Linked DNA regions of Yarrowia lipolytica. The main gene of each other region encodes a partner of the protein of the gene in region 2 in a complex. Links are inferred from orthologs where the notes say so. Each region holds a gene or a part of one and is shown on either strand. Other genes may lie near its edges.

Region 1 (10,725 bases), on a different chromosome or scaffold from region 2:
AAGGAAAAAGGATAGGATACTAACTTATTGTGCATGCACGTTATAGATAATGAAGACATAGATAGCCGACTGGTGATCCGTAGCGACTCGTAGCTACTCTCAGCTACTCTCAGAGACTAGCTCTAGCAACAAACCATAACTCCTGAATCAGCATGAGAGAATGACAGAATGAGCAGTGATACTTCAACTACCAGCTCGAAAGTGTCGGTTGGTCTAAGACTACAGATCATGTATTTGTAAGAGTAAGTGATTACTGTACCTGTGCTTTACTGGTACATGTATTGTACTTGTACTTACACTGACGACCGAGACCTGGAGTTCATCTCCACGAGTAAGAACATCTACACACTCTCCACGCACTACACAAGCCTTGAAAAGTAACCTCCATCTATACTATATACTTCCACCTATGCCGAGACTAATACTCAATGGCCTTTTTGATGGAGTGGAAGATTCGGGTCACGTTGGGGACCTGGAGATCTTCAAATGCAAGCGACATGTGAGTGTCCCAGCCAGTGACTCGTTGGACGGGCGACTCGAGATGCAGGAAACACTTTTCCTGGACTTCGGCGGCCACCTCCGCGCCAATTCCACCGGTTCGAGGCGCCTCGTGGGTCACCACACACCGGCCCGTCTTCTTGACAGACTCAAACACTGTGTCACGGTCCCAAGGCGAAATGGTCCGCAGGTCAATGATCTCCACAGACGCACCGAGCTTCTGTTCGGCCATCTTGGCAGCAGCATGAATATGGTACAGCTGCGTGCCGTATCCAACAATGGTCACGTCACTGCCCTCCTGCATCACGTCTGCCTTGCCAATGGGCAACTCATAGTCCTCGGTGGGCACGTACTCGGCGGATGCTCGGTACAGGATTTTGGGCTCCATGAAGATGATGGGGTCCTTGGATCGAATGGAAGCCAGCAGCAGACCCTTGGCCTGGAAGGGCGAACGGGGCATGACCACCTTGATGCCTGGAGAGTGGCTGAAAAAGGCCTCTCCGGACTGAGAGTGGTACATGGCGCCATGGCCAACTACTCCACAGGGCATTCGGATGGTGAGTCCTCCGGCGTCAAAGTTGGACGACGACCGAGCACGGTACTTGGCAGCCTCGTTGACAATCTGGTCAAATGCGGGGAACACGTAATCTGCAAACTGGACCTCAGCGATCGCTGTGGATCCATAGGCAGCGTATCCAATACCGAATCCCACGAGTCCCTGTTCGGTCAAGGGGGTATTGAAGACCCGGTCTGCTCCAAATCGCTCCTGGAGATCCATGGAGCACCGGAACACGCCTCCAAAGGCCACGTCTTCTCCAAACAGCACGGCAGTTTCGTCTGTCTCCAGCGCCGTTTTCAGAGCGTCGTTCACACTCTGGTACAGGTTGAGCTGCTTGGCCTGGCCCTCGGCCGCAGCTGTGCCTGCCAGTTCTGGATGAGACAGGGCGGCGTTGGCGGAGTTGAGCAGAAAGGGGGCTTCAGAGAGGTTCACCAGGTTGGGGGAGTCGTGAGAGGCCACCAGGGAGGAGTAGCCACGAAGAGGTGACACGGTCTTTGTCAGCGAGGGCAACGACGCTTTCACGCCACCCCTCAAAACAGGTCGCAGTCTTGTAAGCATATTTTGCAAGCCTGTGTGAATGTGAATGTGATGTATCGTACAAGTATCGTACTGTAGTTGTGACTTTGCCTAATGGATGGGCGTTAGGTACAAGTATGTCTTCTGAACCGGGCTTCTGTTTGTGTCGTACTTCTGCCTGTGTGTCTGCGAAATGTCGCTTTTCTCTCTTTAAGTCAGGACTTCGCTCCTTTGTGACTGAGATGAAGAGTGGTGATGAGATGAGTGAGTGGCTACTCCGAGACACTCAAGCTATATACATTTAGCTATATATGGCCCGGCTCTGGAAGGACGGTTATCGACTGGCGCGGTGGAAAGCTTAAATGGTAAGGTTTCTGTTTTTTGTGGGGTTACGTGCAACTCAACGGACAGAGGTCGGGACAGGGACGGGGGGAGGGCGGACTCGACGGCTATAGGAGGTTATGGAACGACCCAAACAGCCCCAAAATGCATTGGGCGACCGCGGGAGGATCTATAGTCACGTGATCCCGACCAGTTGCTCCCTCCTACTGCCATTTTATAGGTTTTGTAGACCCCGTCTTTGGTCGTCTCATACTGTGCTGCTGCTCCAAAGTCTAAATTCTGCCCAAAAAAAAGGCATTCGAAATGCCCATACTGCATGGTCGAGAGCTGGAGATGGTTGATGTAATATTGAATTGATTGAATTTCTGAAGAGAGAATTGTGGTAGAAATAACTAGAGGAGTAGAATGGTGTAAAAATTATCAAGATCGGATGATTATTGGGGGAGTTGGTTGGAGTGAGCTCAGGTGTATAGGGTAGTCGGTAGAGGTGGTTTGAAGGACCCGAAGTCGAAAAGGGCGGTATGAAGATGGTTTGAAGATCCTCAAGTCAGATGCAAGAAGTTTTTGGTGGTATTTAGTTTACTTGGGCAATACTCGATTACTTTTCAATACGCTGAGAGGCACAGTCGGCTACTGTATGTACAGTACTAGTAGCATGTACCATACATGTACCATTGAGTGGTAGATGTACTAACATGCGTCCAGACCAACAATATTGAGGGTATAAAGAGGTATGTTCGATCTTTCTGTTAGGTGTTTGAAAGATACTGTGAATGAACCGTTGTAGTAGTTATTCTTACTATAGGACTCTTCCAATTGTACGAGTCCAACTGAGAGCACGACTTACAGTATTTACTCCGACAACATCTACAGTATGTACTGTACGTACTGTATTCAACTACAGTGTGTTTGGTAACAGCTGGGGGGAAACATCAATTGATGATGCGCGAGTGTGATTATAACGGACAATAATGAAACACTTTCTGTAAACAACAGCTTCTGATTCTCGGCTCGAAACAGAACACGTTCTGTAAACAACACTTCTGATACTCGGCTCTCCTTCTTACTCTACGAAGTATTTTGATGCTGTTCTCGAACTGTTGAAACCCCGAATATGAACATGCTGAGTGATATATTTGCAAGATGAGGTATCAGATTATGGAAGACATGATGAATACCCACAATGACTATTGCCACGGCTCTGTTGGTGCTCTTCAGAGTGCTGCCGGAGTTAGCTCCCACAGATGAGACTAACTCCGAGCATGTGAGAAATCAACGCCAGCAGTTGCGTGGTCTGTCAGTTGAGAAGATGACGTTATAAGTAAACTTCCATCCGTCTGCGTACGCTGACACTTGCCGAATATCTCTACAGTGCCGAATATATCTTGTTCTACGTTCTTGAAACTTCATAAAGTGCCTAGATGACATTTGACCCGATCCACTAACATGGTCAGTATCTAGAGAATTGTCGAGAAAGCCAACTAATAACTCAACTATGATTGCATATCTAAGGAGGACTATAATGTCGACAACAGGGGATATTTCTGCTACAAAAACTTGGATCTAAGAGAAGTCCGTCTTTTTCAAACCTATAGCTATCGATAAGTATACCCACCATCATTCTACTATTGTTATACTAATAGTATCTCCGCAGCGGACATAACAATTCTCCATGGACATTTTTCTTCAACTAACACTTCGACTAATTTGATAGTATAGTGCAGGTTTGAAACAAGAGTCCGGAAACAGACCATCACTGATCACGCGCATGTACACTAATCATCTGCCTTACACATGGAGCTGCTGTAGGTACGATGATGTAGTCATAGTACACACAGTACATACCAGTACTTGTACTTGATGTGGTTGTACTGTAGTCAGAAAGACGGCGCTTTAACTCCAACTTTGAGCAGCAAACATGCACCGACGAGTTGATGAGAGTGGGCGGAGACGGTCGTGATATATAGATAAACCTCTCGTGAAACCGCTCTCTCTCCAAACGCCACAAAACGGCTCTTTCTATCTACAAAACTGCTCCTTCTATCTGCCCACTATTCCACCACTCCCTTCCTGACCTCCCTCTTCGAGATCGTTAAAATTGCTTTAGCGAAATTTTCCCTTTTTTTCCCGTATAATGCCAACCTTATTTAGCGTCTGCACATTCAGTCATCGCAGCTGGAATCTGTCTCTCCACAACCACAGACACGCACACGACGACTCGATATGGACGCCGTGTACACCGCAGTACAACCTCCAATTCATGGCCTAGACTCATCAGCCCTCAGCGGCATTATGGGGTGAGTTAGAGAGGGGAAATCGACCGACCTGGTGTCTTTAGAACTGCTATCATACTAACACAGATGCATTTCCATCGCCTGCTGGATCATTGTTTTCACGCCCCAGATTTATGAGAATGTGAGTATCGGAGATACCGGGAGTGATGCAGACAGAGTGGCAGGGGGATATCAACGAATGGGGTTATTTCGATACGCCGACAAGTTACTTTGCAATAGCTGATATCCAAGATCCGTGGAGTGATTATGGTATGAATCACGAGAAAAGTGACGTTGACTTATGAGCTCCAGTTGCAAGATTTCAGTTTCGGACTTTTGCGGACTTGGATAGAAACCGGTACCAGATGTGACGCTGTTGTCAGTCATCCCCTAACCTGTAGACCTGCTTCCACCATGACCACAAGCAGTCGTTGTCGTTCCCACTAACCTAGTTCAAACGACAATCGTCAGAAGGACTGTCTCTCTCCTTCGTCGTCATCTGGCTCATTGGAGACATCTTCAATGTGCTCGGAGCCATCCTCCAAAAGATCATCCCCACCATGATCATCCTCGCCATCTACTACACCCTGGCCGACATTCTGCTGCTCTTGCAATGTCTGGTGTACACACACAGAAACAAGATGGTTGATCTCAAGCACCTGTCTCCCGCCACACCTCTTCTTGAGGCCGATCCCAGCCACGATGCCGAGCCCCGTCCTGCTCCCGTGACCGAACCCGTGCCGCGAGCCAAGGTCATCTTCTACCGTCTGCTGATGGTGGCCACCGTCATCGCTGCCGGCATTCTGGGCTACGTCTTCTCGTCCAACAACCACAAGGACGGTAAGCCCGAGAAGCCCCACGACGATCCTTTGGAGATGAACATGCTGGGTCAGTTTTTCGGCTGGCTATGTGCTGCCTTCTACCTGGGCTCTCGGGTGCCTCAGATTGTGCTCAACTACGAGCGAAAGTCGTGCGAGGGTATCTCCTTCATGTTCTTCCTGTTTGCCTGTCTCGGCAACCTCACTGCTGTGGCTTCCATTTTGCTCAAAGATACCAGCCGGCAGTATCTCATCATCAACGCCTCGTGGCTGCTTGGAGCCATTGGCACTCTGTTCCTTGACTTTGTCATTTTCTGTCAGTTTTGGATTTACGGAGAGTAGAAGGAAGGGACTGCTACTAGTAAAACGGTTAGAGGTAGAAAATGTATTATATTGTATGGCCATCGTAAAGGACAAACGAGCAGCAGTCTCAGCTCAAATGGATGCACCAGATGGATGAATCAGCTGGATGTAAGGGACATCGATTATAACCATCACAGATGAACGAGTCCAAGAGAGAAAGGCCCCCGGACGTTTTACTGAGATACATTACGTGATACAATATCATGATCATGCACCTATGTACGGCGACCAGTACTCTACAGGACACATTCCATTTTCCAAACCATCTATGCTATCTTACAATTACTTACTGATCGACAATCAACTCGTCGCATCCCCAGTCTTCGAAGGAGCCGTCGGGCAGGTACCTTCGAATCACCAGAGGAATCTTCTTCTGCTGCAGCTCCTTCATGGCGATCTGCAGAGGGTCCGTGGCGTTCTCAATGTCCACGAGAATGGGCGCGTTCATGGAGATTTGCAGCGCTCGTGTACCCAGCACTCGGGCCCGCTCGTACTTGGTCATGTATGGGGTGGTAGTTCGCTCTTCTCGAGGGATGGCCAGTTCTCGGACCGTCTTTCGTCGCACAGCCTTTTCAAAGTTCTCCACGCCCTCTCCGTTGACGATCTGACGTCCGTCCTCGGCCACGTCCGTCTTCACCTCCTCGCCGTTCTCCTCCACATCCGAAACGTGCTCCTCAAACTCCTCCTCGTAGGCGTTTTCAAAGTTGTCGTTGAATCTGTGTTAGTCTGGGCGCTGGGTGCTGGGCCATGTTGTGGACGTAATCGGACGACGCGAGTCACGTGTTCGTCCCCATAAAACGCACGTGATCCCTCCTGGCGCTCCTTACCCCTACTCACGCTTCCTCGTCTCCACCGTAATCAGACATGATGATCAAGTGTGGTACTGAAATGTGGTGATGATGGTTTTTCCACGCAAGGTTTGATGTACTCCCAGTCAAAAAAAAAAACAATCAAAGTTCAATATGACTAAGCTGCAATGGAGGAGGAGCCAGAAGTATTTGGCCCGGGGAGGCGGGGACCGCCGAAGAGAAACAGTCTCGCGACTTCAGAGATGTGGGTTGTTGGCACCTTGTGTGTTCCGGATGAACGTTCTGTCGTCTTGTTTTTTGATTACTTACTGCGCGAGGTTTGGATTATGGGAAAGATTACTTGGAGATTTGTTAAGATCAAAAGTCAGCTGGAGGTTCAAATACAATGTTACAGTAATGGTAGATGCTTAGTATTTATTCCATTTGAATTATACAGCTTTGAGAAGTGTTAATATGAATTAAAATGACTCTCTTGCAATACAAAAAAAGTTGATATGTTGATGCTGGTTTGTGGGAAAGACATTGATACTTTGTTAGAACTTTAGTTGAAACATCTAGGAGTATCTGAGCAGGTTACGACTGCAAGTACAGTACAGTATGTACTCGTGCTTGTTGGTTGTATGTTAGTAACTGATATACAACCAATACAGACGATTTAAATATGCTCACTATGTCTGAGATGATGATGATATCTGATCACGTAATGTGTTGACAATCTGTTCTTCTCTCCCTTCATAACCTGCCAGCGTAACAAGAGGGTTGATCTGAACGGCGTTGAGAATTGCATATCCGAAATTCCAGCAGTCAAACCAACCTAACCGGGTCTGAATAATCTGTTCCCGTCTTTTGTTACCTTGTATCTCAACTATTCACGATTTCACCTCGGTGTCCAACCAGTTTCGGGTAGAAACACACCTGTGAGCCACTCTACTCGTCCCAGGTACCCCATGTTTTGGATATTAATACTACCATGTGAATCAGGGTGATCTCCTCACTTGCTTGGTGTAGTTATCCTCCCTCATTGTCACATACAATGCTGTGTTGCGAGCTACTGCCCGTTTCAATATGAGGGACTGTGACTGCGTATACATTTTGATGATATGACTGTACACGGAGAGGTTATCAGAGTACAGTATGTACTAGTACCGATACTTGTAGATTATCAGAGTATCAGTACTGATACTTGTAGAATTTTTCACTTCTACTGTCACACAATGTCGTGTAGTTGTTGCATCTAAGTGCTATCCACGATAACGAAATCTCGTGAAAATTGTATATAGCAGGTGGAGTTTTCGGGAATAATTCCATTTGTCTCTCTCTGATAGTCCACAAACCCACTTTTCATCCTTGCGGCATCTCTATATCACCAGAATCTTCATCATCAGCCTACTGTCTTCCAACTAACGCCCAAGTAATCAACAGGCTCCGCAACCACCACCCAATCCGCTATGAGACCTTGTAATGACTCGTAGGACATATGATAGGCCCCGGTGGCTCACTCTGGGCCCACTTGCGTCTCCTGCAGGCATTCATGTCATTCGTATTTGGTTTGCACAGACGCTGTCAAATGTATGCTACAGGATACAGGATGTAAGGTGGCGAGCGGAGTGCGAGAGAGAGCGTGAGGGTGTTACAATGGCAACTAGAAAGGCATGGCTTGTGGCAAATCCAGTGGACTTTCCTTTTTATGAACGCTCTGATTGGCTAGTTAAAGACACAGGGCGTACATTTTACCCACTTCGCCGCTACCGGTAGTGCTCGCCAACTCCATTACCGTTTCACAACAGTAGGTACAGTACCAGCGGCATGGTCACTGCTCCCGTACACCACCCTGACCCAGCTAAATATATTTTTCGACAGATGCATGTCTTATGTACCGTGACGCAAAGTGATTTTGAGGAATTCCGGGAGTAGGGGGACATGGAGGGATCATTTTGGTCACGTGAAATTGTTTCAAATGTCTCAATTTGGTCACAGCTCCATTTTCAGACTCGTTGGTGGCGATTCGGCTCTTCTGGAACGTACCTTGGGCCATCCAAAAAAAACGAGGTACCGTTGGGAAAAATGAAAGTTAACGCCTTTATTTTTTTCTTGCTTGGGGGGGGAAGGATGAGTGTCCACGAGGAAGACGATAGAAGCTATGCGAAAGATGTATTTGTATCGCAGTAAATAGCGGCTCAAATCTGAATAATCTGCACTTTTCAAAATTTGAATGTATCCCCCAGAGCGTTATCTACAGGACCCTCTACCCCCACTCAGCCAAATAAAGTTTTGATACAGGATTTTTTTCTTCCCCCTACATATATAGCGATCCACCTCTTGTTCTCTCGAGAGTCAGCTCTAAGAGCATGTTTCACGAAGCAGAATTGTCGGATACTCCAGATGGCATCACGCACTATGACCTTCCGTCCCGGCCAACGTCCGCGGCGTCTTCGGCGTCGTCGCCGGTGTCCTCCGAGTGGATTGAGGTGAAGGACGCCCATGGCAACCCCAAACGAGTGCCAGAACGCAAGGGTCTGTTTTTCCCGACCCGTGGAGAGACGTACGGCGATGCGTGGAACGGCAATGTGCCCAAGGAAAAAACCACCGTCAAACGGACCCTGGCTCACGTCTGCCCCGAAGAGGGCTGTGACAAGGCATACAGCCGGCCATCGCTCCTAAAACAACATCTACGGTCCCATTACAACGAGCGGTGCTTTGTGTGCACTTATGAGGGCTGTGGCAAGGGCTTCTTCCGCCGCTCGCATCTCAAAGCCCACACAAACAGTCACACGGTGGCCAAACGATACCACTGCTCGTTTTGCGCCAAGGGGTTCAACACGCGCCAGCACCTGCTGCGTCATGAGGTGACCCACAAGTCGATAAAACACTGCCCACACCAAGACTGCTCCAAGCAGTGTCGCACCGAGGTGCAGCTGCTGGAGCACTGTGTGGCCGACCACGCCACCTGGAAGCACCAGTGTACCTATCCCGAATGTGGACGCGCTATTGGCTCCGAAAGACAGATGCAATACCACTGGGAACGGGACCACAACCAAACGCCGCAGTACAAGTGTCCGCATGACGAGTGCGAAGAGGTGGCCTCACAGTGGATCAAGCTGCAGAAGCATGTTTCAAAGGCGCACAACCGGTGGCTGTGTCACCATTGCGAAGGCATCTTTGACGACGTGCAGTCCATGTACGAGCATGAGAAGAGCGTGCACGGTCTGTCTGTTCTCTACAGAGGCGGCCACCGGACTCCAGGCTACGTGCGGCAACTCTGGACGTGCCCTGAAGAGTCATGTGGTCACCAATTCTTCGACAAGGACCTGTATGCCAAACACTACGTGTCGCACAACAAGGCCCCTGTTCGCGACATGTTTGAGTCGGTGGCTGAGTACGACATTACACCCGAGATCATTCCGTACTTTGAAAAGCCCGAAAAGCTGACGCGAAAAGGCCGTTCAGAGCGAACGAGTCTGGAGGGCAAGTCTGGGGAAGAGGAGTACCAGTTGCCTAGCGAACGCCCAGCCAAACGACAACGGCGAGAGGTCTCCAAACCCACAAACACCGCTGCCAGCATCGTCGACAAAATCACCGGAGCCGGCTACTCGGACTCTCGAACCATCCCTTGCGTGGTCGAGACTTGTATGCATCGGTTCAACCGTAAGTACGATCTCGACCGCCACGTTGCTGCCAACCATGCCACCAACTGCGCCGTTTGTCCGTTTGGATCTCACATTCTCACCGAGGTCCGAGACCACATGAGCGACGAACACCGCACCGAGTGGCCGGCAGAGTGCTACCAGGCCTCCCCAGACGCCCACATCAAAATCCATCTTGCATACCTTCGTGGAGAGACGCCTGAGGTTGAACCTGTTAACACTACCTCTCAGAACATGTACAAAAACCTGCATTATCCTACTCCTGGACTGCGCAGAAACGCCCCCCGAGGACAGTCCAACTCCTCGTACAATAGCCCACTGCACAGCCCCATCATTCAGGTGCCGCAGCGTGCACACTCCGAGAGCCCTATGCACATGTATGGCAACTCATACCAACCCATCCAACACACCAGCCCTATCAGTGTGACTTCATACCCTACCCAGACTCCCACTCCGGGATCCATCGGGTCTCCTGCTCCACTACAGCAGCTCAATGAGGCTGTGGAGTACGCTCCATTTGATTCGTTGCCGCTCAGTGCCATGTCCTCGGCCTACGTGTCGCCTGCCCTGTCTCATTCGATTCTGGCTGGCGGACATGATATGGAGTACTCGTCCAATGAAGAGGTCAACTTTACCAAGGACTCTATTGACCCGGAGTTGTTCCGACAGTAGGGGGGAAAGCATCAGAAAAAGAACGTTAGCATACATAGATCAATAGCATATCATTTATAATGGGAGCGGTAGGGAGCGGTCGTGACTAGGTGTATACTGAAAGGATCAATATCAAAACTATCACCTTGTGGTCAAGTACAGACCCACAAAGTTGCTAACAAACGGTACTTGTTAAAAAATCTTGAATCTTCGACAGAAGAGAATATTATTAGTACAAAAAAAGATATTTTC
Region 2 (10,979 bases):
CTGGGCTAGTCTCTGCCTACTGTCCAGCTCGTCATGGGTTACCCTGCATATGCAAGATAGCGAAATTTTGGCAGGTCTGGAATTTTTTTTGACTACAGTTTGACAGAGTGCAGGCTCGACTTGAAACAGTACACAAACATGGCGAAATTATCTCTGGCCGAGCAGATTTCTCAACTGGCTAACCCCAAGCCCAAGGATGTGGATATCGAGAACTTTGAGGACCGTGACGATGGTTCCGAGAGCGGTGGAGACGTGGATTACGACAGTGATCTAGCGACAGAGCACTATGTCAAGGTCGGCAAGAGCAAGCTGCGAGATGATGCTCCTGCTCTAAACCCCAAGTACAAGGCCGGCAAGGTGAGCAGGAAGGCTCTTTATGACGACGAGGACGAGGACGGCGATGGCGCTGACGGTTTCATTGATGAGGACGACGAGGACGATGAGGAGGACGATGAGGAGGGAGAAGGCAATGGTTTCATTGACGACGAAGTTGAGGTTGATGAAGAGGACCAGGACGAAGACGGAGATGAAGACATGGAGGATGAGCAGGATGAGGACGAGTCTGACGAAGAGCTGTCTGAGAACGAGAATGACAGCTCGGCTAGAGCCACCCTCAAGGAGCTGCTGAGGGAGGAAAAGAAGGCGTCCAAGCAGCAGGCCAAGGAGGCTATTGTTTCCGACGCACAAAAGGGATTCGCCATTCACAAACAGACCGATCTATACGAGACACTTCTGGACGCGCGAATCACATTCCAAAAGGCAGTCCAGTCTGCCAACGCTCTTCCTATCAGCGATACTAAGGCCGAGGAGCTCGGTGAAGACATCACCAACACTCTTCAAGACACAAAGGCAAAGTTGTCGGACTTCATCTCCCAAATAGCCAAGATGCGACACAACATGGCTGTGCAGGACAATGTGTTTGCTGCCGACTCCGTCAAGCTATCGACCAAGCGAACTTTTGATGCCACTCTGGATAACATGGACAAGCTGGATACAGAATTCAAGGCATACGAGACTTCTGTGCTGAGCAAGTGGTCTCAGAAGGTGCAGGCCTCATCTGCGGCCTCCGCTCTCAACTCCTCCAAGTTCAAGGCTCTGAACCAGTCTTCTGCCAACCAGGTCGCTGCTACTCTGGCGGACATGGACCGACTTGTCAAGCGAACTCGAATGAATCGATCCAACGTTGTCATTCTTGGCGAGGAACAGATGGGCGCCATTCAGGACGCCGAGGGCGAAAACTACTACATCTTTGATGACTCAGACTTTTACCGAAACTTACTCAAGGATCTGATTGACCGACGAATGGTGGATTCCGGCTCTCAAAGCAGTGGCGTCAAGACCTGGACTGCCACAAAGGCCAAGACCAAGAAGAACGTGGACACAAGAGCATCCAAGGGTAGAAAGCTGCGATACCATGTGCAGGACAAGGTGCAGAACTTTGCTGCTCCCCGGCCGGTTTTCACCTGGGAGGACGATCAGATCGACGAGCTGTTTGCCGGTCTTCTGGGGCAGCGAGTCAACTTCAACGAGGACGATGATGGAGAGGAGAAGGAGAAGGAAGAAAAGGAAGAAAAGGAGGAGCAGGAGTTGGTTATTCCCGACGACGGTCTCCGAATCTTTGGTTAGTATCAGTGGTTTTAGCATGGGGTTTTAAGTAGATGTACTTTAATAATAGAGGCAGGTGCCAAATGAAAATGAAGAGTATACAGGGCGTATTAAGTAGTGTAATAAGAATAAATAGTAGTAAAAGTACAGTATATACTGGCATTATTGTTTGGCCGGTTTCTTGATCCCTCTGAGTTTCAATTTCGGCCGTGGCTTAGACTGTAGCGTTCTGGAGAGCTCTCTAGTTTGTTGTGCAAGTGATCCTTTCTGCTTGGTAGAATCAAACAGTCCACCGTGGGATAGAGACTTCAACCTGAGTTCTTGCTCCGCCACTAAACCCCTTTCCAGGTGAGGAACCATCACTTGCGCTTCCTTAGCAAGAGGTAGATCCCGCAGAAGTCCCATTTTGTCCTTGAGAAGGTTGTCTCTTTGGTCTTGGGCTTCCAATGCGCGTTTTTGACCTCTGAACCTGTTCCTCATCTTATATGACAGGTCCTGGTGGTATCTGGCTTTGTCCAGATGTTCATCATACATTTTCTGTGTCTCTTTGGCCGCGTCATCAGCCGAAAGCACCGACGATTTGAAGGTCCATTCAGCGATTGTCTCTCTGCTGTCTTCGGACTTAATATGACGTTGTTTGAGCTCCTCCTCGGCCTTTGCAGCCCTTTGTTTGACGACTTCACGCTCGACCGCCTCAAAAGGGTTGCTTGGAGTTTCTTCCTCTCTCTTCACAACCGACTGTGTGAAGGTAGCTCCTTCTACGGTCACGTAGGTAGCGTTCTTCGGATCCGTCTCAATGACAATGGGATGTCCACACTCAGCATGTTTGATATCAAAGCGCCAGATGGGAGACGACAGATAGCTGCCGTGGCGTGTTTTGACCGCGTTGAACCGTACTCCTTGAGCTATGGTCTTGTCACATCCATGGCATTTGGCAGACAGAGGAAGCTCGAATCTGACAGTTGGTTTGCGCGGATTCGCTCCCGCAAGCTGGTTGGCGGACGACTTGCCGTCGTAATCTGGCGGGTAGTATTTATTGGTCGCTTGCGACATTCATGGGTGTTGTCTAAGTGTTGTGTATTGTTGGCTACAATTGATTTTATTTTCTCCATATGCAGGTTGATAGCGATGAGGTTATTGATAGGCATATTCTAAGTATTTTTGTTAGGAGTACAGTTGGTAGTTACTTGGACCAGGTGGAAGGCAGTAGAACTGCGTGGAACGAGAGCATGGCCACGTGGGGAACTTTTAAATAGCCATTTCCTCTGGGAATCGTCAGATTGTTATTTCTATCCAAGTGACCATTTATCATCCCTCCTTCCATTCTGTTGCCACCTGATTACTAAGTGCAACCGCGCATCTGCACATTGCCACCTTCCACCTAACCTCCATCAAAGCCAAAAGTCCCACACATCAAACACCACACGACACCACCACCACAAACCACCACATACAATGCCACCAAAATCTGATTGGGAAAAGTACAAGGCCCCCATCGACGAGGATGCCGCGCAGGAGAAGATCATTCCTCTGTCCGAGGGCGACATCCAGGTACTCAAGACGTACGGAACTGCTCCCTATGGTACTGCCCTCAAGAACATCGAGAAGGACATCAAGGACATGCAAGCACGAATCCAGGAGAAGGTCGGCATCAAGGAGTCCGACACAGGTCTGGCCCCGCACCACCTGTGGGACACACAAATGGACAAGCAGCGAATGAGCGAGGAGAATCCTCTCCAGGTGGCTCGATGCACCAAGATTATCGAGACTGCTGAAGACCCCGGAAAGAGCAAGTACGTCATCAACGTCAAGCAGATCGCCAAGTTTGTCGTGTCGCTGGGCGAGCGAGTGTCGCCCACAGATATCGAGGAGGGGATGCGAGTGGGAGTCGACCGGTCCAAGTACCAGATTCAGCTGCCTCTGCCACCCCGAATCGACCCTTCCGTCACCATGATGACGGTCGAGGAGAAGCCCGATGTCACCTACTCGGACGTGGGAGGCTCTAAGGAGCAGCTGGAGAAGCTGCGAGAGGTTGTCGAGCTGCCTCTGCTGTCTCCCGAACGATTCGTCAACCTCGGAATCGACCCTCCCAAGGGTATTCTTCTATACGGACCCCCCGGAACCGGTAAGACTCTGTGCGCACGAGCCGTGGCTAACCGAACAGACGCCACTTTTATCCGTGTCATTGGCTCCGAGCTAGTGCAGAAGTACGTTGGTGAGGGTGCCCGGATGGTCCGAGAGCTGTTCGAGATGGCTCGAACCAAGAAGGCTTGCATCATTTTCTTCGACGAGGTCGACGCCATTGGAGGAGCCCGATTCGATGACGGAGCCGGAGGAGACAATGAGGTGCAGAGAACCATGCTAGAGCTCATCACTCAGCTCGACGGTTTCGATCCTCGAGGAAATATCAAGGTCATGTTTGCCACCAATAGACCCAACACTCTAGATCCCGCACTCCTGCGTCCCGGACGAATTGACCGAAAGGTCGAGTTCTCACTGCCAGATCTCGAGGGCCGAGCTAACATTTTCCGAATCCACTCAAAGAGCATGTCTGTCGACAGAGATATCCGATGGGAGCTCATTTCGCGTCTGTGTCCCAACTCCACTGGTGCTGAGCTGCGATCCGTGTGCACTGAGGCCGGCATGTTTGCCATTCGAGCCCGCCGAAAGGTCGCCACTGAGAAGGACTTCCTGGCTGCCGTCGAGAAGGTCATTAAGGGTAACCTCAAGTTTAGCAGTACTTCTCAGTACATGCAGTACAACTAGTCTGTGAAGATAGAGGTAATAATAGATGATGTTATGATAATGGTACAAGCACTTGTACCAATGAGTAGAGAGACGCGCTTTGTGCTGTAACAGACAACGTAGACTTGTATGTAATGCTTATCCTCAATCGTTTTTGAGCGGTTGACCATCTCGTCACTCGAGGTAACTGGCCGCAAGTACATTGATAGAGGTCGATGATACGTAATTCCTGATGTTGTATAAAAATGCGATTTGTGACTTTGTCTATCTATATAAAACCCCACTGCTTCTTAGCAGTCCTATTTCATAATCAGTCCTTTTCTTTGCGTTTGCTTGTTTGTTTTTGTTTGCCTTGTGTCCATACTCCAAGGAGCACAAGAGTGTGCCCGGAATACAGAGTGCTGTCCGGAACACCTAATAATGCATATATATATCCTCCTCCAACCGTCAACCAAGATGTACCTGAAGGAACATGGTTCTGTTGATTACTCCCACCAAGACACCAGACCCATGCCTTCTCCCTGGCAACTGGCAATCAGAGAGTAAGGAGGAACACCTGGCTTCTCGGGGTCCTGCTCGTCGTTAGGAGCAGCACTTCCAGCGTAGCCCTGCTTGAGTGGAGGCAGGTCCTGGAACTTTTCTTGTTCGATTCGGAACCGGATCTTTTCGTTGGTATCCAAAAACAGCTCCTGCTCCTCGTCAGGACACCACATCCAGGCCTGTTCTCGGGCGACAAACTGCGAGTTTTCAAACAGCAGGTGTGCGGGGATAAAAATGTCGTCGAAGAACTCCATCTTCACCTTGATTCCTTCCGCGGTACAGCTGGAGATCCAGCCCTCTAGTACCTCTCCCACAAACGGCCGGAAAACCACCATTCTGAAGGTGATTTTCACAAATGCAGCACCGTCGCCGGACATGACCTGGCCTTCGCCGACAGTGATCAGGTCATAGACACAGATGCACAGACCCACTCCGTCGATGATTTTGTTAGCGTAGCAGTTGTTAATCTCGTCCACAATAGCGTCGTTGAGCGGCTTTTTGAAGCTGGTGGGATCGAGTCGAATGAGATCTGTGAAGCGCGTGAGAATGAACATTGCGATGGATGAGACCCAACTCAGAGACAATCTTGATGATAGTTGCACGGTGTAGCTGGATATTTTTTAAGGTCTGCATCGCACTGCATATCCCTAACCACATCTTCACTTTTTCTACACAACTCCCAATGTCGCTTAGTAAGAGTCGGTACCAGCAGTGCCCACGATAGTCACCCCTAATAAGGACAAACGTACAAATTCCCAAAGCGGAATAACCTCCTAGAAATACGGAGATAACCGCTCTTCTCCATTCGGACACCTTAGCACCTTAATTTCGAATATTCACACATACTGTACTGACAAAACACACAAGAAAAAAAAAAAAAAAAAAAAAAAAAAAAAAAACCCAGGCCACTCCCAAGGTAATTAAACCCAACGCAATTGGCCATGACACCCGTCGACGAGGCGGAGGATACGAGCAGCTCTAGTGCCATTTATACACTACCCTAACCCGGGCCGATATGTCGACCGACCAACAAAAAAACGTCAACCACAGCCCGACAGTAGGATCGCCCCCAAGTCGTTGAAGAGGCATGGTCACCCAGCAGTCGTATTTTAGGTGTTCTAAGCCTGTGATTGTAACGGGGATCGTACCGGTACTGTGAGACGGGCAGAAGAAGCAATTACGTAAGCTGGAGGAACGCCCGCAACCCTCACAACCGCCGCGTTGGCACTCGTATTGCACTTCCTTTCCTTAGGGGTTGCTGCTAAAAAGTGTCTCCGTCATTCCCCACAATAATTCTCCGGAAAACCTTACGGGGGTTAAGCCTAGCCCAATAGGACATGGTGCGAATGGGTGTGGTCATACCCCAGAGGTTTCGTGGGGCTACCGTCAAGATTGTGACACCTGGCGAGTTGGAAAAGTATCCCATAAAGTATGTGAATAAATTAATTCGGATTCTCCACGTCTTCGTCTTGCCGAACCCGCCAATTAAACACCGCGAATCTTGATCCGGTTCATCCCGGACGTGTCCAAACTTTGTTTGGTGAGTATTAGGTCGCATGTCATTGGCCAATGGCCCGCATTACCTAAGCTCGGTGGGCTTTCAACTGGCCGCACGCAGATTATTTCTCTCTCTCTTTTTGGTTAGACCATACAAGTCGATCTGAGTCGGTGAGTAGCAAATTGCGCGGCGGAGGACGGGGCGCTTCGAGGCACATTGACGGCAGCCATTCGTACCCACGATGTGGACGGTCTTGCCCGGTATCTCTCAGTGCAACAGGTTTTTCGTTCGGCAAAAGGAGAAGTGGGACACCCAGCAGCTTGTTTGGCTGTACGCGTGGCGAGCATGTTGGCAAGCGTGAAGGAGAGAGGTTATCACAAGTGCGTTGGCGTGACGATGACAACGGAGCCTATGCTTCGCAGCATCATTCTTATGGTCCACTCTTCTGTCGGTGCCATGGTTTGGTGGTTCTCTCGTGGTATGTTAGACAACACATTCAGTGTGACATGTGGATATGTGAGGTGTGAATGAGAGCAAGTGGTACAGACACGAGTTCAGTGAAACAAGAACCAATGCTTAAAGGTACACGCGAACCTGACCGGTGTTGCTTCTTTCACCCAGTTGCTGGGATACTCTGAATGTCAGACTGTCTTGAAAATTTCAGTCTGTCAACCGCCGATGCTCTCACAGTCTATCCCCACAACACACCCTCTGATACCACAACCACTATATACAGTCACTGCGGACCACTCTGCAGTAAATCATCCAGACAACTATTCTCTACCTACCGGAATACGCAAAACACCTCTCCACCCCACAACGCCTGCAGAAAACCCCACAACACAACTAACACAGAAATGCTTAGAGCTATCAAAAACCCCCGAGCCGTTCTCAAGTCTCGTCACTTCTCCACCTCCCCGGTGGTGGCCAAGGTCTTCGCCAACGGCCCCGTCAAGGCCCAGGAGGCCCCCTCCCACGTGGCGTCCAAGTACGCCGTCGTCGACCACGAGTACGATTGTGTTGTTGTTGGAGCCGGTGGAGCCGGTCTCCGAGCCGCCTTCGGTCTGGCCGAGGCTGGCTTCAACACCGCTTGTATCTCCAAGCTGTTCCCCACCCGATCCCACACCGTCGCTGCGCAGGGAGGTATCAACGCCGCTCTCGGAAACATGCACCCCGATAACTGGAAGTGGCACATGTATGACACCGTCAAGGGTTCCGATTGGCTCGGAGACCAGGACGCCATCCACTACATGACCAAGGAGGCCCCCAAGTCCATTATCGAGCTGGAACACTACGGTGTTCCCTTCTCTCGAAACGACGAGGGCCGAATCTACCAGCGAGCCTTCGGTGGTCAGTCCAAGGACTACGGTAAGGGAGGCCAGGCCTACCGAACCTGTGCCGTTGCCGACCGAACCGGCCACGCCATGCTGCACTCTCTTTACGGACAGTCTCTCCGACACAACACTCACTTCTTTATTGAGTACTTCGCCATGGACCTGCTCATGGAGGACGGCGCCTGTGTCGGTGTCGTTGCCTACAACCAGGAGGACGGAACCCTGCATCGATTCCGAGCCCACAAGACCGTTCTGGCCACCGGTGGTTACGGACGAGCCTACTTCTCCTGTACCTCTGCCCACACCTGTACTGGTGACGGTATGGCCATGGTCACCCGAGCCGGCCTTCCCCTCCAGGATCTGGAGTTTGTCCAGTTCCACCCTACCGGTATCTATGGCTCCGGCTGTCTGATTACTGAGGGATCCCGAGGTGAGGGAGGATACCTGCTCAACAAGAACGGTGAGCGATTCATGGAGCGATACGCTCCCACCGCCAAGGATCTGGCCTCCCGAGATGTCGTGTCTCGATCCATGACCCTGGAGATCCGAGAGGGCCGAGGTGTTGGCCAGCACGGCGACCACATCTTCCTCCAGCTGTCGCATCTGCCCGCCTCCGTGCTCCACGAGCGACTCCCCGGTATTTCCGAGACCGCCGCCATTTTCGCTGGTGTTGACGTTACCAAGGAGCCCATCCCCGTTCTCCCCACCGTTCACTACAACATGGGTGGTATCCCCACGCGATACACCGGTGAGGTCCTTACTCAGGATGAGAACGGTCAGGACAAGGTTGTCGAGGGTCTGTTCGCCTGTGGTGAGGCCGCCTGTGTCTCCGTCCACGGTGCCAACCGACTTGGAGCCAACTCCCTGCTCGATCTGGTTGTCTTCGGCCGAGCCGTTGCCCACCGAATCACCGAGACTCTTACCCCCGGTGCTCCTCTTCCCCCTGTCTCTGCTGACATTGGTTACGAGTCCATTGCTAACCTTGACAAGATGCGAAACGCCGACGGTCCTCTGTCCACCGCTACCATTCGAGACAAGATGCAGCGAACCATGCAGATGGATGTCTCCGTTTTCCGAACCCAGGAGTCTCTTGAGGATGGTGTCCGAGGTATCACTGCTGTTGACCGACTCATTGACCAGGTTGGTGTCACCGACCGATCCATGATCTGGAACACTGATCTTACCGAGACCCTCGAGCTGCAGAACCTGCTCACCTGCGCCATGCAGACCGCCTACTCTGCCGTCGCCCGAAAGGAGTCTCGAGGTGCCCATGCCCGAGAGGATTACCCCGACCGAGACGATGTCAACTGGATGAAGCATACCCTCTCCTGGCAGGATAAGCCCGGTGACGAGATCAAGCTCGGCTACCGAGCCGTCCAGATGCACACCCTCGATGAGTCTGAGTGTCCTACCGTCCCTCCCGCCAAGCGAGTCTACTAAGTGTAGTAGGGTTGTCTGTCTGTCTACTAAGCATGTATATGAAATGAAAAGTACGTTAATGGAATTATCCTGTAGTGACGAGTTATCCGATAGATGCAAATGATTTAGTATCTGTTCATACTCTAGTATGTTACAGCTTATTAGGGACGTCGAGCATTCTCAGAAACTGCTCGGTTTGAGGGTTTTTGTATTTTGGTAGTTGTTTCTGCTGAGACACATTGTGAATATCAGCTCCTGTATACACTGGAGCTGTCTGGACAAAGTTGTTGGGGATGTCTAACTTGCCTTTGTCGACAATGTTCTCCTTGACCCACGCATAGTCGTCTTTGACCATCTTTCTGAGAGCTTGCAGTTCATCCAAAGTTCGAGGATGTGCTTGGTGAAGGGCGTGTGATCTGGTAAAAAGGTGGTTTGTGCATCTCACAATAGACAGCCATTCGGGGTCGTATTGAAGCCCATCTGAGGTAGGCTCATGGTCAATGTCGAGTCTTTCGATGAATTGGCGTTTAGGAAGACATTTATCCAGTGCTAGAAAGTCAGTCTTTTTGGCCAGAGGTTTCTTTGCTATCACGGGAGTGGCTTCATCATGTGTGGTGTTTGCATCAATGTCGGTTTCACCTTTGACGTCCTCGGAAATATCAATCTCTCCAGTCTCTCCACTGTCGATGTCTTCAGAAATGTCGATTTCACCTGTCTCGTGGTTCGTGTCTTCCAACTCATCAAGAACTATTTCGTCTGGGTTCTTGATTTCAGGAGAAGATCTCTGTTTGGTGGCTCCATTCGCCGCCTCCAGCTTCTCGTGGTCGACAGTGGCGACAAACTTGCAATGAAGATGTGCACTGAGCCATTGGGCAGGCTTCAGCCGCTTGAGGAGCTCCATTGCAGGAGGAGACCCCAGAGTGCCGTTTTTCACGTCGATTCTGAAATGCTTCTTCTGATCGAGCAGCTTCTTTGTGTTTCCAAAGTGCTCAATGCCCGCGGGCCAGTCGTGAGACATGAAGATATCAATACCGTTATCAATAAGAGAAGCTTTCATCACATCATGGGCCCTGACGTGATATACACTTCTAATGGTAGAGTTGTCGTAGGGAAGTCGTTCGTGATGACCAGTTTTGTAGCTGCGCTGGTTGTAGATACCTGAGATTCCCCCAATCCGAAGACCCTTATAGTTGACCACTCCAGCAGCTCCTAGGTAGTAGATATTAGGTGCCAGCCATCCTCCGTAGTACAGCTCCTGCATGTACCCTGACGACTCATGGTTGCCTCCAATGATGATGGTGAGGTACGGAGCCGTTGATTCACCCGAGTAGTACTTGTGGAAGTCGTGCATCTCTCTGTATTTGGCCGGTACGTTCATCGAGAGCAGATCCCGTTCGTTTCGGACGGCCTGAAAGTCACCTCCAATCATCACCAGATCCACGGGCATATGGTATCCCTTTACCCTCTGGTAAATCTTGTCGAGAGCTCCGTGGCAACATCCTTCAAAGAAGACGTTCATGGTGGTGTATGTCTACAGTAGCTATCTGTCCGTACCTTTTTCATGTCGTGATAAATTCTGAACTCTAATGCATGCAGTGTGGGGGAGATACCGAGAAAGGACGGAGTCGTAGTGGAACTCCAAAGCGTCGCCCGTTCGAGCCAAAGTCCAATCAGCAGTTTTGTGAATCCCTTTTCCACATACATGCTATTACAGCTCCTGCCATTATGAGACAGTGGTATAACACAAAAGACATGGACTCAGAGTGAGTGATAGTAAGAGCAGAGCAGTCCATAAGGTGCCATAAAGGAGTGGTACTGGCGTTGTATCATATTCAGCT
Region 3 (10,540 bases), about 1.2 Mb from region 2:
ACATTTGATGGAAAATGAGGGCGCCTCGGAAGTGAATCCCAAGGCGTTGTTTGGAGCCAACACCTTCGACTTGTTGTTCTTTGCATATGTGCACAAGCTGGCGTTTGAAGACAGTCTTTTGCCCCCTTACAAGCTTCTGGCGTACCTCAAGGTGTGTGCCTATGGCCGTCTTCCCCAGCTGCTCATGTATCTGGGCAAACAGCTTCAGGAAATGGACACAGACGTGGATTTGGGTGCCAATGCGGGCTACAGCTACTTGATTCAGGTTCTGGTTTCGTTCATGAAGGACGCCTTTGCTTCTGGAGGTGGGATGCGAAAGAGATATGGAACGTCTATCGCCAAGGGGTTCGGGTTCTTTGCCGAGGTCCTGTTGACCCGACTCGGAGACAGAATGGCCGGAGTGACTGCTCCCGAGATCACCTCGCAGCTCGCAGAACTAGCAAAGGTCGATGCTACCATTGCCGGAAGACTGGGCGAAGCCTGGATGGGTCTCAAGGGCGCAGCTAAGACCAGCACCACAGCTGAAACAGTAGCGGCAACCGTGGCTACACCCACGACTCTCACTAGACTTTACAGAGACACGCTGTTTGAAAGCCTCATGTTTGGAGACTCATCCTGGAACCAGTATGGATCCCTGTTCCAGCTCATCAGCACGGTCTATGCCATGCCCGGGTACCCCACTCTGGCCTCGCAGCCCGTGCAGTCTCGTCTGGCAATCATTGGCGAGGTTATTTGCGCCATGTTTGACTGTCAGAGCATCACTTTTCTGCGACGAGATTCTGCCAAAAGAAACAACTACTGGAAAAGCTGCATCCGAACACGAATCCCGCGCATTATTCGCACTTTGTTCCCGCACTCGACACCCGAGGAAAAGACGCTCATTCAATCCGTCGTCTCAAAAAGTGTTCTGGGCCTGGATCAGCCTACCGTGACCCTTATTCGTCTTTCCATCGGTTCTGACGAATTAGACGACATGTTCTCCTCGTTCCCGGGTGGCCTGGACGTTGACATTAGACACGAACTGGTTGCTGCATGCATTTCCGAAGGAGTTCTGCCCAAAGACGCCTTCAACGCGATTTTCAAAGACTCAGGAATCAGCGTAGAAGCCCTCGATTACGCAGACGAGCTGACGATCGACGGACAGGCTATGAGCCTAGATACAATGGCAGAGCAGCTGAGCTACGAGAATCTCGAGATTGGGTCTGTTTCCGACTGTCTCATGTCCAAGGTGGTCGCTCAGATGGAGAAGCTGAGTGGAAACGCACAGGAAGCGCTGACCAAACGGCTGCTAGTGTGCCTGGCAGACTTTGTGCAGGCAGGAAACGTTCGACCAGTACGATACATGTGCCAAGCTTTGGCACTGAACACAACTGCTGTCGACATTATGGCCCTTTGTGTCGATCCCATGCTATTACTCAAGGCTCTGGTCGACTGCATTGAGCTATGGAGAGAGGAGGAGGACGAGGCCAACTACCAAGAAGCTTACACGGACTTTGGAGCCATTGTGGTCTTTGCCATCACCCTCAAGCAGCGCTATCATCTCGATTTGGCCCTGTTGAACCAATTTGGAACACTCTTTGTGGGTGCTCCTTCGCCCTCCAGCACCATGCCATCACACGAGTTGTTTCTGTCACAGCTTCTCACAGAAAGCGACTCTTCACAACGCATTTTCCATCTTTCCGACGAACAGAACGACCAGCTCAGTGGATGGGCTACCGCTCTGTATGACGCTGGAGGCATCTCCGACGATCTAATGCGATCGTCATCCGTAAAGCAATTCTTTCTTGTCACCCCTGCCATTTTTCAACAAAGCATGCTCGCCCACGAGAAGGGCCTACTTTCTCTGTCGACCTTCAAGGGAGGCCTGGAGTATTTTTTGCAGCCCTTTCTGTTGGGATCAACAGTGGGAGTGTTCAAGTGGTTGTCGGAACAACTATGGGTGCATTCGCAAAAGGGACACGACGAGCAGATGAGTACAGTTATATCTGTTTGTTCCACTCTAATTCTCACCGATAACACTGACATTGAGGTCTTGTCTCCTATTCATCAAATGGTGCTGGCTATATGTGCTGACGAAATGTACGAGGCTCTGGATATGGCTCTGAGGGCAGGCTACATGGTTGAAAACCGGGTGTTTGAGTTCCTCGAGCCTTTTGTTTCGGCCATCAACTACAATCTCAACGTGCAGCGAACAGTGTCGTCTTCTGGTTTCCGATCGCAAAAGGGAATCGGTATGAGTGGGGGTGGAGGAAGTGGTACCAAGGAGCAGACGTGGAAATACGGTGCTTCCATGATTGCCACCATCAAGGAGCAGGTGTCGTCACTCATCAGTTGGTCGCAAAACCAGTACACGGGTCCCCCGTTTGGATACGAGCTTGTGATGATCCTGTCGTCGGTCGACACTCTGGGCCATAAGTACGTTCTGGAGCAGCTGATCGAGGAGATTGCGCTGGCGGACTCCAACGGCACAGGCCATTATACCGTGGAAGTTGTTGCTACGATTGCTACGGTTGCATTCATCATTTCCACGTCTGTGAAGAGTCCACGACCGTTTTCCGACTCACAGCTCATTCTCAAGTCACTCGATAACATGGTCAACGACTCCACGGGCAAGAGCAAGGACATTTGCGTGCTGCTGCAGTCCAAGATTCTGCAGTTGTTGACTACAGCAGGCTACAAACCCGACGGAAGTCGTCTGGACGGCAAACCACATGCTAAAGAGGACTATTCGTTTGTGGTGAACCGAACGGGCGAGGTTGAGAATAAGCCCATCAACGACTCGTCGCAAAACTCCAACACTGACAACCAGTTTATGGACACTAACATGTTTGGAGGCGACGACTTCACCATGGACTTTGGCGGCGACATTGACATGCCCGACTTGTTCTAGGGTGTTTGTACAGTAATTTTATTCATATTTAATCACATGTGTAGGCGATGAGACTGCTATCTGCTCAACACAGTGTGCGATATACCCAGATTTGCACGCAGAAGGTCCAATGTGATCCACTGCACTTGAACCTGTGATTCTCGTCACACACAGCTGGGAATGGTGGTACAGTACTTGTCTACACACAGCCAAACGGCCCAAACATGTCCTGCTACAAACCGCGGCCTGACCTGGTCAGCCCTACACATGTCCTCAATAGCATTTTAATAATTTTACATGTACATGCACGTTTTAACCTCGGTGAGCCATGATCTTACCCTTTCGAGTGGTAGTCTTGGTGTGCTGACCTCGGACCTTGTAGCCCCAGTAGTGTCGGAGACCTCGGTGGGCTCGGATCTTCTTGAGTCGCTCAATATCGTCTCGCAGCTTGACATCAAGCTGGTTAACGAGCAGCTGGGAGTCCTTACCGTCGGTAAAGTCTCGCTGTCTGTTAAGGAACCAGCCGGGAATCTTGTACTGACCAGGGTTCTGGATGATAGTAACGATTCGCTCGAGCTCCTCGACGGTGAGCTCACCGGCTCGCTTGGAGAGATCGACATCGGCCTTCTTGCAGACCAGGTTGGCGTATCGTCGACCAACACCCTTGATCTTGCACATGGCGTACATGACCTTGATTCGGCCGTCAACGTTAGTGTTGAGGAGTCTGAGTTAGCAAAATACTTTCTAGTGGCTGAAGGGAGTGATCACCGATTAGTGGCCCTTGATGAGACTGATCACGATCCATCAAATCTCAAGCATCATAAAAACGAAGTGGTAGGCAGAAGTTGACAGTCAGACAAATGTACGCAAACAGGTAAGAACACATAGTGTAAACACGCAGAACAAATGCTCAAACATGTTCAGTCTGCTTGGTCCTTTCCATGTCGCATGACCCGTCTTTACTCATCATTGACCTTCTGTGCCTTCTGTATCTCCATCACAAACCACCATATCGAGCTTCAATAATCGTGTAATAAATTCTCTCCCTGTTCTCTCTGTGCTGTCTGTACATACCGAAGAATGTGCTGGAAGTTGCCTTGTTCAGTGACGACGAGGGACATTTTGGCGTGTAGTTATGGGTCGACCGGTGATGATGAAAGAACTGGTGCTTTACACACTGAACTTTCGTTTGCAATTTTCCGAGTCCAACTCTATCCAAAACGGAAATATCATGTGACACTTAGGGTTAGCCCTAAGAGCCATGAAAACAGAGGCAGGAGGACAACGTGCGGTCGTAGGTTCGATCCCCAAAGATGTAAAACATTTAAATTTGGGAGTTCCAAAGCTTAAATTAAACCAGCTCTGGGATTGTGGTCTTGCTTACTAAGCGCACAATTTGAGAAGGGCAAAAATCTACCGATCCGAGAGTATTCAAAAATACAGCATCACAGTGACACAGATATCCGTTTCGGGTGTCTTGGCACATCTTACAGCCTTGTACTCACGTGTGTGGATCTCCTAAGATGCTGTGAGTTCATGCACACCTTGCATAATTCAGAAAAAAAGTGTTGTCGTGAATATACCAGTATTATCAACAACATGAAGGTGGAAAAAACTCGAGAGGCTCTGCTGTCCAACTTTGAGGTGCTGGCTCACGTGCGGGACCAGGAGCGTGCCCGACGAATGTCCCAATCCGCGTCGGCAGCCTCCAACCAGGGCACTTCCCATGCCGAAAACCTCGAAACCGTCATCTACGAGCTCAAGGACTATCTCAACAAGTCTCCTGCTGCCAGCCAGTCGCCAGAGGCCATTACGTTGTTTCTGCAGAAGATCAACCATCTGGGGCTCGAAAAGGCCGAGCGATTGCAGCTCATCAACTCCGTGCCCACGTCTATCGTGTCGTTATACTCCCTGATCGAGGAGTGCGATCAGCGTTACAATGAGGACCAATGTGAGGAGATTCTGGACGCGATTAGAACAACTCTGGTCAGTGAAGAGGATGCTATCGCTGAATAGCGAGTTCACAATGAGCAGATGCCGAAGACAAGGCTTTTGGCAGTCGACTCAACCATGACACACCCAAAACAATGTATACTACGGAAAAGTGTGGAGGACACGTTTGCATATAATTTAATGAACAATAACGATTGATCAATCAAGTACAAGTACAAGTACACACGAGAGTTGATAGTGTCATAAATACCGTTACCAGTTTTGTTTCTCTTTGTGGTCTTGTTCATCGGAGTGTATACAGTATCAGCCCAATGTCTACACCAAGATTTGTACAGAGCCATCAACTTTCAAAGGCAGTATCGGTGTTGTAAACGGTATGACTACACTGCAGTGTGTCGCAAAACATCTATAATATCATTATCCAAACCCATTTTACTCGCCCTTCTTTCTAACTCCAGACACGATATCGTCGACTCGCAACAACAAGCAAGCAGACTCAATGGCGGTCTTGATACTCTGCAGCTTGATGGCAGCAGGCTCCCACACGCCGTACTCCTTCATGTCAACAACCTTTCCGTTGTCACCGTCAATGCCGTATGTGGAGAAACCCTCGGCTTGCTTAGCTCGCAGGGTGGCCAGAGTTCGAATGGCATTACCACCACAGTTCTGAACCAGGGTTCGGGGAATCACCTCCATGGCATCAGCCACGGCCTTGAAGGGCCACTGTGCAACACCCTCGATGGTCTTGGCATGCTCGGCCAGTCGCACGGACACAGCCATCTCTGTAGCACCTCCTCCGGGAGCCAGCTTGGGCTCGAAGAAGACGTTTCGAGCCACAGCCATGGCGTCAGCCAGATTTCGCTCAATCTCGTTGAGAATGTCCTTGGAGGGTCCTCGCAGCAGCACGGTGCATGCCTGGGGGTCTTCGCCTGTGATAAATGTGTAGTACTCATCACCAATCTTGGAGATCTCAAACAGGTTGCACAGAGTACCAACGTCGGAGTCCTTGATGTCCTCGATTCGGTTGACGATGGTGGCGCCAGTGACTCGTGAGATTCGGTTGTTATCGCTCTTTCGCATTCGTCGAAGCACACTGCAGCCGCCCTTAAGCAGATAGTGCTGGGCCAGATCAGACACACCCTTCTCGGTGATGATCAGGTCGGGTTTTACCGATAGCAGCACCTCGCACTGCGCCTTGATCTGCTCCTCCTCCAGCTGCAGCACTCGGTTCCAGTCGGCCTCCTTACTGATCTCAATGTTGGTCTGAGATTCACCCTTCTTGTACTCGAGAGGACAGTCAAGCAGCACCACACGGGGAGACTCGATTCGCCGTCGCATCTTGGGGTGGGTGATATCCTTGTTGATCATGACACCGTCCAACACACGGGAGTCCTCAATCTCACCTCCGGGAATCTTTTCCACTCGGACGTATCGCTTGATGTCAACCTCCTTCTTGCCGTTAATGTCGACAGCAACGGTCTTGACGGCCTTGAGAGCCAGAGAGGACATCTGCTCGGACCATCGGGACACGTACTTGGTGCCGATGGAGGCGGCAATGAGCTTCTTCATGGCAGCCTCGTTGTTGACGTCAACGGGAACAGAAATCTCCTCTACAACCTTGAGAGCCTCAGCAAGTGCATCCTTGAGGGCGGCGATGATGACAACGGGGTGAATGTTCTTCTCCACGTAGGGGAAGGTCTGAGCAAGAATCTCTCCGGCAAGAATGATGACGGTGGTGGTTCCGTCTCCAATCTCCTCGTCCTGGGTTCGAGACAGCTCGATCATGGACTTGGCTGCAGGATGGGTGACCTCAATCTCTCGCAGAATGGCGTGACCATCGTTGGTCAGGGTGATACCTCCCATGGGGTCGAGAAGCATCTTAAGCATGGCCTTGGGACCAAGACACGTTCGCACAATATCGGCGACACTGGGTTAGTGACATTTCTGAGGGTGGTGGATGTTGGATAAGCGTAATGATGGAACCGGCGGAGTCGACTCGTCGGGAGGAGTTCAATGGTGGTGTTGCATTCCCCCAAACACGACTCTACAGCTTGATATCACCACAAATCAAATGTCCGCCCTATAAGAAAAGATGGCCGAAGCAGCTGTCCACAGCCAAATTGGAAGTCCAAACAACATATAAAGGGTAAAACAGCTACCCCAAACGCCCCAATTTGCCTCCAATTTGCTTCAGAGGCCGTCCACCCCTCCAATTCCACCCTCCACACTCCATACTCACGCCTTTGCAGCAGTAATGTTGCTGGTCTGGGCCTTTCGTCCGATTTGACGTTCCTGGCCGGCGTCTGCAGTTAGTAGTTGTTCGTCGATTGTGTTTTTGCGGCCCCTTTTGTATCCACCGGGTACCATTTCGCATGGTGTTCTTAGTCATGTTGGAGTTACACGTAGAGCATAACACCAGACCTAGGTGGCGATTTGTGCCGCAAAACCCGTCGCGGACAACACGGGGCAAGTCGTGGGACGCGGTAGCACGCAATACTCACTCATAACAACGACAGGAGCTTGCATTGTTGTTGATTTTGTGGTTGATCTGAATGTGCACTTAGCAGAAGAAATCAAGATTTCGAAGAGTAGAGAAAAGTTGGGATAACTTTAATGCGTGGCGAGGCGTCTTGTCTTGGATAAGCTGACTAAGCGGTAGAATCCTGCGGAATCTCGTGGAAGGAGAGGAAAATATTTTCCAAAAGCTGCAGTTGGCTTTTTGTGGTGAAATTGTCATGCGACTGTATATTTTTATTGATTCTGCTGGTGCTTGAGCGTGTGTTGTGGAGTGAGTCTCGAGTGTCATGATGGCATAGAACCATCTGAAATACTCGAGGAGGTTCAAATGTCAAGAAAATACCATTAAATCCGGTCATTATGAGCTATTGGAATACATATTTGAAGTCCCCATACACCCTTCTCTTCTGGTTCTAGCTCCAGTGACGGAGATATGTGTTTGAAGAGCCTAAGATGTTGTTCCAGGACCACCATGGGCGACGGCAGTACACTAGAGAAGTAAGAAGTTGTTTGGAAGAATACACAAGTGCTCAATATCTATCTACAATCTTTTATTTATGTACCAAAGCATCTGGTATGTTTTTATCTGAACATATGTCGCAGCAGTAACACGAGGCGAGAGAGAAGACTCTAGTGGATCAATTGGATCAGAAGAAGAAAAATCACTTCAACAAGTGAATTAAACGGCTCTTTATGTCCGCTAGACACATATTTGGGGGTGTTTTTTCGGCAGATATGGACCATTTACTTGTACATGAACATGAACATGAACATGCAAAAGTGTGTGTATAACAGTGGGAAGAACAGTCGTTGTAGACGTTTTCGAGGTCATTTGGGCACTAGACAAGCCCCCATAAACACCATCATCCGATTAATCACAACTCTCCAGTCAATCCACTCCATCTCCATCATACTACAAGTACAAATACTGTACTTAGAACAGTTTTTCTCGTACACCGTATACAGTAGCACCGGCTCCTGTCTTACTACTAATCTACAAGTAGCTGTACCAAGCAAAAACTGTTGTAGCTCCAATCCAGGTTCAGTGATAAATACGTACTACTTGACATTCACGAATCAAGTATCCAATTCAGTCAATCAAAACGTCTTCCCTTTGACATTTCACACATCTGTATGAACATGACCACTTGGATCCAGGCTCCTTATAGGTAATCGTAGTCTCCTTCAAGTCAAGTACTGTACTCGCACTCGCACTCGGACTCCTACTACCAGCGGAATGTACATGATTCCTACCAATACCCACTTGTACTCCCAATACAACCCCTGAGTCCCCCTGCACTCATCCCTGTGCACGCTATGATGCCTCTTGGTTAACCTTCAGTAACCCAATCACTATTTTGTTAGAGTTGGGAACACGTTACCAGTATCAAGGTACGGACATGTTCATCAATAAATAGCTCGCCCAGCGAGCTTGTGTATTATTATATTGCTGGAACAAGAGCCGCACAAGGGTCTCGTCTAGGTCCGTAAAATCTCGGCGACCTTGCTTTGGTCGAAATTAACATCTCGGGTGTGAAGTTCGTCAACGGGTGGAGGTCCCGAGGGCTGGCGCACAGGAAACATAAGATCGCCATCCCGCGACTGAGGCTGTCGACCATCCTTATTAGGAGACGTAAATACGTTGGTGGACAGCGAAGACGCCTTTCTGTGTCCTCTTCGGAAAGGCGTTTCGGGGGTGCCCACCGAAGACGACCCAGCGGGTCCCTCGGGCGATCCTCCGGGGCCTGTCCCTCGAGAATGCTGACTCGCATGCCCTCCATGCAAAGCTCCGGCGGTGCCTACGGGGCTGCCGGGAGCCAACCCCACCATGCTGGTACTATTGGAATGCGAATGAGAGTACGAGTGCTGCATGTAGGGGTTATTTTGGGCCGTGACGGGCGTGGGATGGGCCAGAAAGTTGGCCGACGATGGCCTCTGGATCCGTGAAGGAGAAGCGGGCCGACCCGGACCCAACCCGTAGCCCAACCCGCTAGGAGCATTGAATCCATGGCCCCCATGAGGTGGACCAGCGTGCTGATGACTGTAAGAATCATCCAGAGGCGACGCCAGCAGCTGCTCGTGCAGCCACTGATGCTGCGAGTGGTGGGCCGGCAGCGTGGTGGGTGTGAATTTGTGTCCCCCCGGCGCCGAGCCCGGTGCTCCAGCGACCTGGGGTTGTGCGGGCTGCTGCTGGCCCTCCTGGATGGCCTCGTTGAGCGCCATCTGGATCCGCTCCTGCTGCTGCGAAATCAGAAGCGACGTCACCTGCAACTCCCGCTGCTTGGCCTGCAAGTGGGCGTACATGCTCTGGGGCGACGGCGACGTGCGGCCGTCCATGTTGGGGTCTTGCGACGCCAACGACGCGCCCTCAAACATTGGGGAGCGGGGCGATCCCACACGGATGGGCGAGTTGTATCCTGACCCGGAGCCGCCGGGGTAGCCGGCTCCGCTGTATCCTCCATACGGCACGCCTGTTTTCGACGGCGAGCCCACCCGCTGGATGCCGGGGTACTCCTGGAACGGCGACCAGATCCGCTGGCCCTGAGGACCCACAGTGTAGTTGTGCTGCAACTGCTGCTGCTGCTGCATCTGCTGCTGTCGCCGGTCGGTGGCGTTTTTCAGACCACTGATAAGTGCCGCTCGGGGAGATGGCAGGGGCGCCTCGACGGAGTTGGATCCGGCCGAGCCAGGGCGTTCTGGCGTATCATCGTTGAGCTGCAGCACCGGCGGGCGGAATTGCTTGTATTTGTGTTTCTCAGCTTCCAACATGGGGGATTGTGGCATCTTTGTTGTTGTGTGTGTGGGGTGATGTGATGTCATGTGGATGTGACGATGTTGATGATGAGACAATGTGACAATGTCAGCGTGACGCAGAAAACGTGCTTAAGAAGCCTCCTGTACACAAACAGACAATGCCGATAACGTAGGATGAACGTGCAATCGACCTGTCGATATGCCCAGTGTGGTTGTGCGTGTGTCTCGCTCGTGTGTCTGTGTCTGTCGATGTCGATGTCGATGTCGATGTCTGTCGATGTCTGTCGATGTCAAAGTCGAAGTAAAACGCACCGAAAAGTGTGAGTGCAATTAGAGCTCTGGGCGGAATCACGTGACCAACCTCACACAGCTAACCTCGTGTGGTTACTGGTCCGAATGCGAAAAGGGGCCCGAACGTGAGGCGTGTTTTGGTCAGAGTGTGTCTCG

What was found.
Region 1: YALI1_D14276g (region 2) and YALI1_F07675g share a complex: the UniProt entries of both Saccharomyces cerevisiae proteins name them as parts of the RNA polymerase III (Pol III) complex. The link is inferred for Yarrowia lipolytica from reciprocal best matches to the Saccharomyces cerevisiae genes RPC25 and RPO26.
Region 3: the proteins of YALI1_D14276g (region 2) and YALI1_D26142g are in contact, whole or in part, in a cryo-EM structure (PDB 7Z0H), measured with the Saccharomyces cerevisiae proteins. The link is inferred for Yarrowia lipolytica from reciprocal best matches to the Saccharomyces cerevisiae genes RPC25 and RPC17. Residues at the interface, in NP_012778.1 of Saccharomyces cerevisiae: Phe2, Ile3, Leu4, Ser5, Lys6, Ile7, Ala8, Asp9, Gln17, His19, Arg20, His28, Asn31, Asn32, Lys33, Phe34, Ala35, Asn36, Lys37, Ile39, Asn41, Val42, Cys45, Ile46, Thr47, Ile48, Tyr49, Thr71, Arg73, Lys78; in NP_012523.2 of Saccharomyces cerevisiae: Met1, Lys2, Val3, Leu4, Glu5, Glu6, Arg7, Asn8, Ala9, Phe10, Leu11, Asp13, Glu15, Val16, Phe19, Leu23, Arg48, Pro49, Tyr50, Asn51, Pro53, Glu54, Leu55, Ile58, Asn61, Val62, Asn64, Tyr65, Ile68, Asn71.

The regions. Positions count from the first base shown.
Region 1 is NC_090775.1:761,451-772,175, forward strand, and holds YALI1_F07675g (uncharacterized protein), read right to left. Parts: upstream 6,236-10,725; coding exon 6,207-6,235; intron 6,086-6,206; coding exon 5,656-6,085; downstream 1-5,655. Other genes in the region: YALI1_F07630g (uncharacterized protein), read right to left, coding at 419-1,615; YALI1_F07655g (uncharacterized protein), read left to right, coding at 4,139-4,212, 4,276-4,330, 4,641-5,348; YALI1_F07699g (uncharacterized protein), read left to right, coding at 8,527-10,494. UniProt on the Saccharomyces cerevisiae protein: DNA-dependent RNA polymerases catalyze the transcription of DNA into RNA using the four ribonucleoside triphosphates as substrates.
Region 2 is NC_090773.1:1,422,121-1,433,099, reverse strand, and holds YALI1_D14276g (uncharacterized protein), read right to left. Parts: upstream 5,445-10,979; coding exon 4,836-5,444; downstream 1-4,835. Other genes in the region: YALI1_D14329g (uncharacterized protein), read left to right, coding at 139-1,626; YALI1_D14304g (uncharacterized protein), read right to left, coding at 1,768-2,658; YALI1_D14300g (uncharacterized protein), read left to right, coding at 3,061-4,371; YALI1_D14260g (uncharacterized protein), read left to right, coding at 7,027-9,162; YALI1_D14224g (uncharacterized protein), read right to left, coding at 9,293-10,660. UniProt on the Saccharomyces cerevisiae protein: DNA-dependent RNA polymerase catalyzes the transcription of DNA into RNA using the four ribonucleoside triphosphates as substrates. Specific peripheric component of RNA polymerase III which synthesizes small RNAs, such as 5S rRNA and tRNA.
Region 3 is NC_090773.1:2,608,044-2,618,583, reverse strand, and holds YALI1_D26142g (uncharacterized protein), read left to right. Parts: upstream 1-4,405; coding exon 4,406-4,885; downstream 4,886-10,540. Other genes in the region: YALI1_D26186g (uncharacterized protein), read left to right, coding at 1-2,890; YALI1_D26146g (40S ribosomal protein uS13), read right to left, coding at 3,182-3,593, 3,944-3,990; YALI1_D26114g (uncharacterized protein), read right to left, coding at 5,255-6,749, 7,062-7,189; YALI1_D26084g (uncharacterized protein), read right to left, coding at 8,819-10,159; YALI1_D26082g (uncharacterized protein), read left to right, coding at 10,268-10,376, 10,419-10,513. UniProt on the Saccharomyces cerevisiae protein: DNA-dependent RNA polymerase catalyzes the transcription of DNA into RNA using the four ribonucleoside triphosphates as substrates. Specific peripheric component of RNA polymerase III which synthesizes small RNAs, such as 5S rRNA and tRNAs.